2 linked regions of the Tribolium castaneum genome follow. The protein of the gene in region 1 purifies or fractionates together with the protein of each later gene. This does not show direct contact. Links are inferred from orthologs where the notes say so. Each region holds a gene or a part of one and is shown on either strand. Other genes may lie near its edges.

The links. Proteins that work in one complex are often made in the same cells at the same time.
Region 2: the proteins of proteasome activator complex subunit 4 (region 1) and proteasome subunit alpha type-1 purify together in Homo sapiens (affinity purification with mass spectrometry; 4 studies listed by BioGRID and IntAct, counting the BioPlex papers as one, with this or other methods). This does not show direct contact. The link is inferred for Tribolium castaneum from reciprocal best matches to the Homo sapiens genes PSME4 and PSMA1.

The regions. Positions count from the first base shown.
Region 1 is NC_087396.1:18,346,698-18,351,870, forward strand, and holds part of proteasome activator complex subunit 4, read right to left. Parts: intron 3,256-5,173; coding exon 3,039-3,255; intron 2,993-3,038; coding exon 1,937-2,992; intron 1,880-1,936; coding exon 1,428-1,879; intron 1,378-1,427; coding exon 1,129-1,377; intron 1,078-1,128; coding exon 900-1,077; intron 847-899; coding exon 595-846; intron 547-594; coding exon 41-546; intron 1-40. UniProt on the Homo sapiens protein: Associated component of the proteasome that specifically recognizes acetylated histones and promotes ATP- and ubiquitin-independent degradation of core histones during spermatogenesis and DNA damage response.
Region 2 is NC_087394.1:35,800,677-35,804,676, reverse strand, and holds proteasome subunit alpha type-1, read left to right. Parts: upstream 1-1,486; 5' UTR 1,487-1,595; coding exon 1,596-2,429; 3' UTR 2,430-2,600; downstream 2,601-4,000. Other genes in the region: mRRF1 (ribosome-recycling factor, mitochondrial), read right to left, coding at 3,261-3,501, 3,552-3,762, 3,820-3,957. UniProt on the Homo sapiens protein: Component of the 20S core proteasome complex involved in the proteolytic degradation of most intracellular proteins. This complex plays numerous essential roles within the cell by associating with different regulatory particles.

The sequences.
Region 1 (5,173 bases):
ACGAATTATTATCATATTCACAAACTGGGACAAAACTTACAAATTTCCATTAATACAAGCATCCAAAAGCCCATCAACTGTCTCATTGTACGCAACTGCGCGCTTTTGGCATTTAATTTGTAGCGTTTTCTCGCCCTCGTCCATATATTTTTGGAAGTGGGTCAGGTCGCATTTGGGCACATTTTGACTTAGCAAAGTGGCATCGTCTAGACATCTTTGCGGAAAAACCAAGTTAATGGCAATGGTCGGGAAAAATCGGTTAACAGCGTCGACTATCGCATTTATCAAATTGACAATTGAGGGTTTTTCGGATGGCATCGACTTGATGATAAGTGGCCACAATTGGCGAATAAAATTCCAGTCGTGACGTGCCACTATTGGTGTATTTTTCGGACTTATCAAAATGTATAAACAACCCTTGAACTTCTCATGGTGTTCTTCTGAGTTTAGTTTTAAGATTTCGAATATACGCGATGTGAGAACGGTGTAAGAGTATGGGAAGTATGACACTACAGAAAATAGCTTCGACTGTGCTGAAATTCTCACCTGAAATTTGTAATTAGCATTGGTAGGTGAAAAAAAAAAAAGAAGTACCTCGCTATATCGCGACACACTTAGTTCAAACAGGTCCAAAAGAATCTGTTTGTGGGTTTCTGTGAATGAACAGCTACGACTTTCTATTCTAAATTCTTGCTGCAACATCACTCTGTTGATAAGGATATGTCGCAAGTGCAGTTTATTTTGGTGTAAACGGTCTTCGAGTAGTTTTTTCACCAAGTGGAAGTTCTTCCATTGATACTCGAAATCATGAACACGTGATTTGTTGAAAAGAAGTATATTGTAGATCTGGAAAAATTAATGTGAGTGAGTGGGTGAGTCTTCTATCGTTATTTAATTACATGGACAATGTTGTGGATGCTTTTAGTGTCACCTTCGTCCACTTCTAGGATTTTTTTCTGGACTTTATGCATCAAATCTGCTATCACTTTTCGGATGTTTGAGCCGTCTGGCATATTTACAGCATGAGAATCGCTCACGATTAGATTGAAAGCCCACGGATCTAAAACCGAGTCGACCCTAAAACATTTAAACTTAGTAGTGGCTTAATCGAGTTTTTAGAATTGGTACAGCTGTATCGCAGGTTCGTCCCAGATTGGCAACACTGGATGTGATGACAATATCGAAATTACTATCCTAAGCGACCTTCGCAGCTCTTCTCTCGTCAGGACTGACTCTCCAGAGGCGTGTTTGCTAAGTTTTGAAACTTCGGGTACCAAATACTTATTAATGAGTGACTGAACTAAGGCGATTTCCTTATCTCCAGGGACGTACCACGAGATTTCCAGATCTTTGATATTTTGAGCTTTGCCCCACTCTCTTTAAATTCCAAATCATGTTAAGTAAAAAACACTTAAACGAAGCATCACCTTATCGAGAGAAAGTCCTTAACATGTGTGTCATACGGTGTCGAACAACTTCGGTATTCAGTTGGCAGTATGTAAGTCAGTGAGGTCATCATAACTTCAAGCATGCGTGATGCCATCTGACTACCACTCAACGAACTCATGTGTAAAGTCCTATCAAGGATTTTCATCAACCTGTCGGAATACGTAACAAGTTCGGTCCTGGCATCCACAACTTCTGATAAAATTTGCAAATTGTAAAGCAATTCAGCGTCGAGATGTTCCTCTTTTTCTATGTTTGGGTTTTCGTTCATTAAGCCTTCGATGATATCACACAAGTGTGGAATGAACAGTTTCAGGGTTTCCTTAGGATTGACTTTGGCAAAGCCTTGGCATATAATCGCCGTCATTTTGCCCGAAATTTGTATCTCCATTACTTTGTCACTTACGAAATTGAACACTTTTTTAAGAGCGGCCTAAAAAGTTAACTGTGTTTTCCCGTTTTCACCACCCAATTAAAGCCAATTACTTACTGTGAAAATTTCTGGCGAGCACTGGTGTAAAACTGTTGAAATGATCGAGAAAAGGGCCGTTTCGGCGATCACTTCGGCCCGATTTTTATTATTGTTGCTGTTAGCATCCTGTTCTAGTCTAACAAAGTCTAGGGAATTAGACTCGACCCAAAGACACAGTCTGTCAAAAAATTGCAAAACGAAATCTTCGAAACCATCGCTGGCTTCGCAAACTATGTGTTCTTCTTCCGTCAAGTCATCGTGATATTTACTCGCTTCGGAACAATTGATCAACGGAATCATGTTAATAAAATGAACCATGAAGTTGAAAGTCACTAAACACTTTCGGATATCGTTCGGGTCAATCCCTGGGAGTAAGGCCATTAGGAGTGGAAGCACATGGGTGAATCCTTCTGGGTAGTTGCTGCGCGCCCCTTGTACCATGTACCTTGCCACTGCCGTCACGCCCATCATGGACGACGTCAGTTTGTGCGGCTCTGTGAGACTATCCATTGAAGCATACAATTTATCCAAAGTCATTGGAATGACCAGGTTTGGTCTTAGGGACCCCAGATATTGCAAGGCTAGGATGATATCTTGCCCCCCTTGTCTCGAAAACATTGCCTGCTCAAGACACGGCTTCATAATATTGACGAATCTATCAATATCCTCGTCGGTCAATTTATAATGATCTGGAATGTTCGTATCCCACGTTTTTTTCTTGTATCGTTCACAATGCACCCTTTGCACGAAATAATAGGCAAGTTTTCGCAACAATTCCCTCAACTTCATCGACCATCGGCCCATATTTGCCGGATAGTAGTAGGATTCCAGCGCTTGCATGAACTTTTCCAAATGAAAGAAAGTCGAATTTTTATCACCGTTCAAAGCGCATGTTATCCAAATCGCCATTGCGGAAATTTCGATTTTGTATTGTTTGCCGGTTTGTTTCTGTCTATAAGCTACAGGTAACTGAAAACTGCGCGAAAATCGCACAAACATCATGGGAATGTAGGGCTCCCAATTGATATACCCCATGGTGTAGCTGGATAGTCGCGCAATCATCCACATCATGTGCTAAAATTAATTGTAGTTTTGGGACTGAAACAATGAAATCGCTCACATCTTCCCAAGCACTTGCGTTATGACAAGCGTTCCACAGCGTCATAAGTTCTTCAAACCATAAATCGTAACTAATGGCAGCTTCCTCGGGTTTGACGCAAACAGGTAAGAAAATTTCAAGGTATTGGATGGCTGAGAGGATTGTGGGGCTGCTCATTGGACATAAGCGAGGCCTGAACTCGTCTAAAATTTCCTGAGTGGCTGATGCAGGGAAGTAGCTACAAGGGGGTGCCACAAATAAGTATAAAGTGGACAAAATGGTAAACACTCTTGACTATTCATAACTTTTCTGCTGTGTGATCTATACTTCGGGGTAAATGCGAAACGAAATTTACATACTAATTTACTGTGGAGGGGTGGTTGAGGTTGAGTTTTTCACATGAGGTGAAAAAGAAAATAATAAAGACAGAAAAGCTACTCATTTGAGCGGCAGAATTTTTTTAACTGGTTTTAGTACGCTTACTTCTTAAAACCAGTAAAATAAAAAATAGCTGCATTTAAACAACGACAAGCCCAACATATACAGCATTAAATTCTCTATAGTGAAAGATAAAGGTAATGGGGAAAATTATAGTAAACTTTATTAAAAAAAAATCAATTTTTTCCTAATTTATTTGTTCCATATTTTCCAAAATAATACGAATATCCATCGAATAGTGGCGAATTGAATTTTCTTCAAAAAAGTCCGTTAGGCCTATTTTTGTCTTCAGTGGATTAGGTTTAATTTGTTTTTAAGTGTCCCCCACTCAACGTCTTTGGACTCTTTTAAAATGTTTGAGACAAAGTCATGGTTTTTCGCGTAGGACACTTTACATTTTTCGTGTATATTTAACCGTATTCATATAGTGTTTTGAAAAATATGGAACGGTGCATAAATTTTAAATTTGTAGTACTATGACCTAACTGCACCGATTCGGCTTATGGTAACGCTTATTGACAAAGCTTGACTTACAGACATACAAGGTGTTTTATAAAACTTTACAAGGCCTGCGCCTCGTGTGCGCACCAAAAAAGTCACAAAACACTAGGATAAAAAAATAAACATTTAATTATTTAATTTTTGGAAAACCATGATAGTAGTTGTCAAACTAATGTCTGTTTCTTTCTTTGGCATGTGTTCTATCAAGAGACTTTCATTAGAACATGATTTTAATTGATTTATTTTAATCCCTAACTAACTAAAAATTGCTAAAAACGTATTTTTTGAAGAAGTGAACAAACAAGACATGACTATTCAATTTTTCAAAATTTAATCGGGTTCGTATCGGAATATGTATTGTTGGTGGCATTTTACTTGCGTAAATTTATATGAAAAACACTGTAAAAGTGGAATTTAAATAATTCGCGCTGCACCGTGAGGTTTTATCTGGTGTTGTTAGTTAATTCAATCCGTCAAATGCCTATCATTTAGTTGTCAACAGTTTACAAATGCGTGAAAATGTTGCGGATTTTTTTTTATTTCTGATATCAACAATAAAATAATCCAACGAAATTAAAATTAGTGAGAAAATTGCTCAAGTTTTTATTTTTAAATCGATTTTATTAAAAAAAAAGTTTTGTTGCAGGAATGACTGAAGCCAGAAAAAGAGCTATTAGCTGTTTCAAAACTATAAAAACGCCAATGTGGCAATTTACCAAATTATTTTTTTAAATAAGATTGATAAAATTGTAAAATAGTTAATATTGATTCGATCTCTCATTGAAAGTATAAATTAAATTAGCTTTTATTTTTTTTTTAAGTGAATGAATAATTTATAACAGAGAGAAAATGGGATGTTGGCGGTTTAATAGTTTTGAAACAGCTAATAGATGTGTAAAGTTTCTTGTTTAGACATTATAATGTACCAATAAAAAGTCTGTATTTGTCTATATTTATGTAGACGGGGGTGCAAACGTAATAATTTCATACTACAAAGTACAAAAAAAGTAAAGAATTTTCTATTTCGAAGACAAAAAGCATTGTCCGAGAATTTTCATCTTGAGCTACCATCAACATCCCAATATTTTCAACAGGTGAAGTTAAAAATTTGTTATATTTCGAGCACTACGAAAATAAGCTAACAAATTTAAAACAATTCGCTACAAAAATAATTATCTGAACAAAAAAGTCCACAACACTTTCAAAGTTACAACATT
Region 2 (4,000 bases), on another chromosome or scaffold:
AATTGTTAATTAAAATGCTCCATAAAAATTTACAGGTTACTGTAAACCATTGTTTTAAAAATATGTACATAGATGGCATAATTTTTTATAGTTTCCTGTAAAATTAAATTTATGTATTCGACACCTAGATGTCACTGTCTTAGGAGAGGTAATGACATCCACGGTATAGAGACAGACAGGTAAACCAACTCGCTATTATAATTGATTCTAACGCTGGAGCAAGTTGATAGATGGCAGCACGGTAGACTGGGACTGTCACAATTTCAGAAATTTTCTTTGTTTTTTATAAAAAAATGATGCGAAATTAAAAAATGTTATCTCAGCACCCAAGTTAGTCATCTTGTAACAACTTCTGCTTTTTTCGCGCTGAAATAATAATATTTTCCGAATAGTTCTAAACTTCGGTTCGATGCATTTTCGGCCGCGAAAGACATCGAAACATTGAAGTCAGAATAAATGCTTTCCAGAAAAAAAACTCCACTACCATTCGGTACGGGCATCCTTCAGGTATTAATTGTTCTTCATAAATGTCGTATTTTTAACAACGTGATGCGTGTATCTTTTTTCTTGTAAACATTGTGACAGTCCCAGTCTACGCTGGTGCCATCTGTCAGATAAAATAAAAGCTCCAACTTGCTCCACATTTTGGTTTGCGCCCGACAATGGAAAATAAGGGAAGTTGGTTCACCAGGACTATCTATACATGGTGATGACATCTAATTACTGAATATTAGAGTACTATTTTTATAGGTACCTATAAAATTTTATGTGTCATCTTTGCATGCTCCTGTAAAACAGCGAATTACAGTAACCTGTAAATTTTTTAAGACCATTTACAATTGTATACTTTTAAATAATTATTCGAAAATTTCAAAATTGATTTTGGACCAGGACCGCAGGAGTGCAAAGAGGTAAAAAATATAAAAACCTCTTTGTTTTCTTGTGATCCTAATACACATTAAAGTTTTAAAATGGATTTTGTACCTGGATCAAAAAAGTTAAAATTTCTAAAAATCTTGTTGCGTTCCTGTGACCTTAATACCTACACATTTTACTTTAAAATAACAACAAACTTTTACTAAACTGTTTCTACAAAAAAATGCTAAGGCTAGGCAATTTGGATGCACAATACACACAAGTGTATAGCTGGTTGCAGACAAATCTTTAAATTATTGGTACCACGATTACAAGAACGCAAAAAGGTACTAAAGTTTAAAAATGTCCTTGCGTTTGTATGACCCTAATACTAATTAACTATGGTAAATTTTTAAACTTAAAATAAAGAATTCTATCAAGCGCAGACTGGCTAACCATCAGTAGAAAATGTTACAGTTTCCTATGCTTATAAGAAATTTAGTTCTACAACTTTTACATTTGTATAATAATAATTAATATAATTAACTAAGATATTCATCAAAACCTGCAGCTTTTCTAGCGTAAAAATATTTTTCTTAGCCTTTCTTTACAGAGACCTTTTTATCGAAACTGTCAAAAACGTATGTCTTATTCTGTCAAAAATATCCGCAAGTGACACAGCAGCATTACATGGTTATAAAAACAAAACCGGTAAAGTTCAGTAAAAATCAGTGTTAGAAATGTTTCGCAACCAATACGACAGCGACGTGACCGTCTGGAGCCCCCAGGGCCGCCTCCACCAGGTGGAGTACGCCATGGAGGCCGTAAATTTGGGCTCCGCCACCGTGGGTCTCAAAAGCAAGACTCACGCCGTTCTCATCGCCCTCAAAAGAGCCTCGTCTGAACTATCAGCCTACCAGAAGAAAATCATCAACATCGACGACCACATCGGAATCACCATCTCAGGCCTCACAGCCGACGCCAGAATCCTGAGCCGTTACATGCGGACTGAATGCCTCAATTACAAGTATTCGCACGACACCCACTTGCCCCTAAACCGCCTCATCAGCCAGCTGGGAAACAAGATGCAGTTGTGCACTCAGAGGTACGACCGCAGGCCCTACGGCGTGGGGCTCCTTGTGGCGGGTTATGACGACCAGGGGGCCCACATTTACCAGACCTGCCCCTCTGCCAATTACTACGACTGTAAGGCAATGTCAATTGGGGCGCGTTCGCAGAGCGCTAGGACTTACCTGGAGAAGCACTTGGAGGAATTGTCTTCGTGTTCTCTTGAAGAGCTGATTAAACACGGCTTGAGGGCTCTTAGGGACACTTTGCCCCCTGAAGTCGACTTAACCATTAAAAACGTTTCCATCGGTTACGTTGGCAAGGGACAAAGCTTCAAGATTTTGGTCGATGATGAAACTGGGCCTTACTTGGCTATGATTCAGGGTGAGGAGAGGAGAGGGGGTGGGGCTCAAGAGCCCCCAGCAGGGCCTCTCAGAGATGAGGCGGGGGACCAAGACCAGGGCCCCAGGGATCCGGTTCCAGCTGTAGCAATGGATACGGAATAAGGATAATGGGGCCTTTTCATTTTTCGTTAATCAGTTGTGTTTTACCTCTGAGAAATTGGATTGGTTTTGTGCCGTGGCTGTCGTAAGTGAGGCAGCCACGGCACAGGATCACTAAATATTACTAAACTGTATTCTTTTATTAAATAATCAATAAACGAAGTAATTTGTAAATCGTTGTTTATTTTTTCACCCTAAATGTACAAAGTACGTAAAGCGAAAGTGCTGTGAGAATTTCCTTGACGTATATCTCGCATAGCTTGCTATATTTAAAGAAATTTCAATGTAATGTTACAGCAGAACCTTGATTAGCCGAGTAAAATCAAACTTTTTACTTTTGATTATCCGGTTTAAGGCGGATAACCAACATTGTTTAAAAAATATTTTAACTTAAAATACTTTGACACTTTAAAATTTATTAAACACCTTAGGCGACAGTGGACTTTAAAAATTTTTAATTTCGCAATTGCATATTGAAGTTACTGTTCCAAGACACGTTTATTAGATTTTCACAGCATTTTGTAATGTAGACAGGGTGAGTCTATTACAAGTGTATTTTTTACTAAACCTCAAAAACTAATTATCGCACTGAATTCAGCGTTTGCTATTAAATACTCTATATTTCCCTCTAAGGCTGAATTTTTTCAGAATTTTTCTACAATTTCTTATAATTAAAATTAATTAACTACTCTTAAGTAGTTGCAAAAATGAAAAATGGGTAGAAAAATTCTGAAAAAAATCACAGGCATAGAGAAAGTCATTACGTATTAAACAGTGGGCGCTGAATTGGGTGCAACTATTAGTTTTAAGCAGAATCACCCCATGAAAGAATAATTAGTTTTTCCCGACTAATTCTTTCTGCTTACTTTCCAGTATTTTCTCAGCCTCTGCAATGTAAGCATCTGCAATAGCGACGATTTGTTGCTCCGAATTTCTGGCCATGTCCTCCGAAACTTTGTCTTTTTTCTTCAAAGACTTGACTTGTTTATTCTGGACGTCTCTGATCCCATCGCGACATTTAATAAACATGGTTTTAGCGCTTTTTGCCAAATTTTCCCTATGTTCTGTTGTAACCCTAAATTTGTTTTATTACCACTGTTGAAAAAAGCTTGTCAATAAAAATACTTAGGTATGGGAATAAAAAGAGTTGTCCCGTCTTGTTGTGGATTCAAATTCATTCCAGATTTTTCGATTGCTTTCAAGGCGGCAGGGATAGCTTGAGGGAAGACTGACATATTTATGACCAAAGTTTTCGGGTTTTTCCTGATGATTTGGGCGAGTTCCTGTAGTGAATGTGTTTTACCATCCAACTCGACAGGGATGCTTTCCACTGAACCTAAAACAACCATAAAAAATAATAAAAATAGGGTACAATACAAGAGATTCTTAGTACCTGTAGTTGTTCTCACTGAAAGGTGTTTCACGTAGTCTTCCTTCAATAAATCAACAGCTTTTTGCATTTGAGTTTTCAGAGATTCCACATTGACTATTTCAGATAACTGGCTCTCGTTAACATGCACTTTGGCTTTACCTAAACTGGCACAAATATGAAAATTTCAGCTATTTGGTTTATG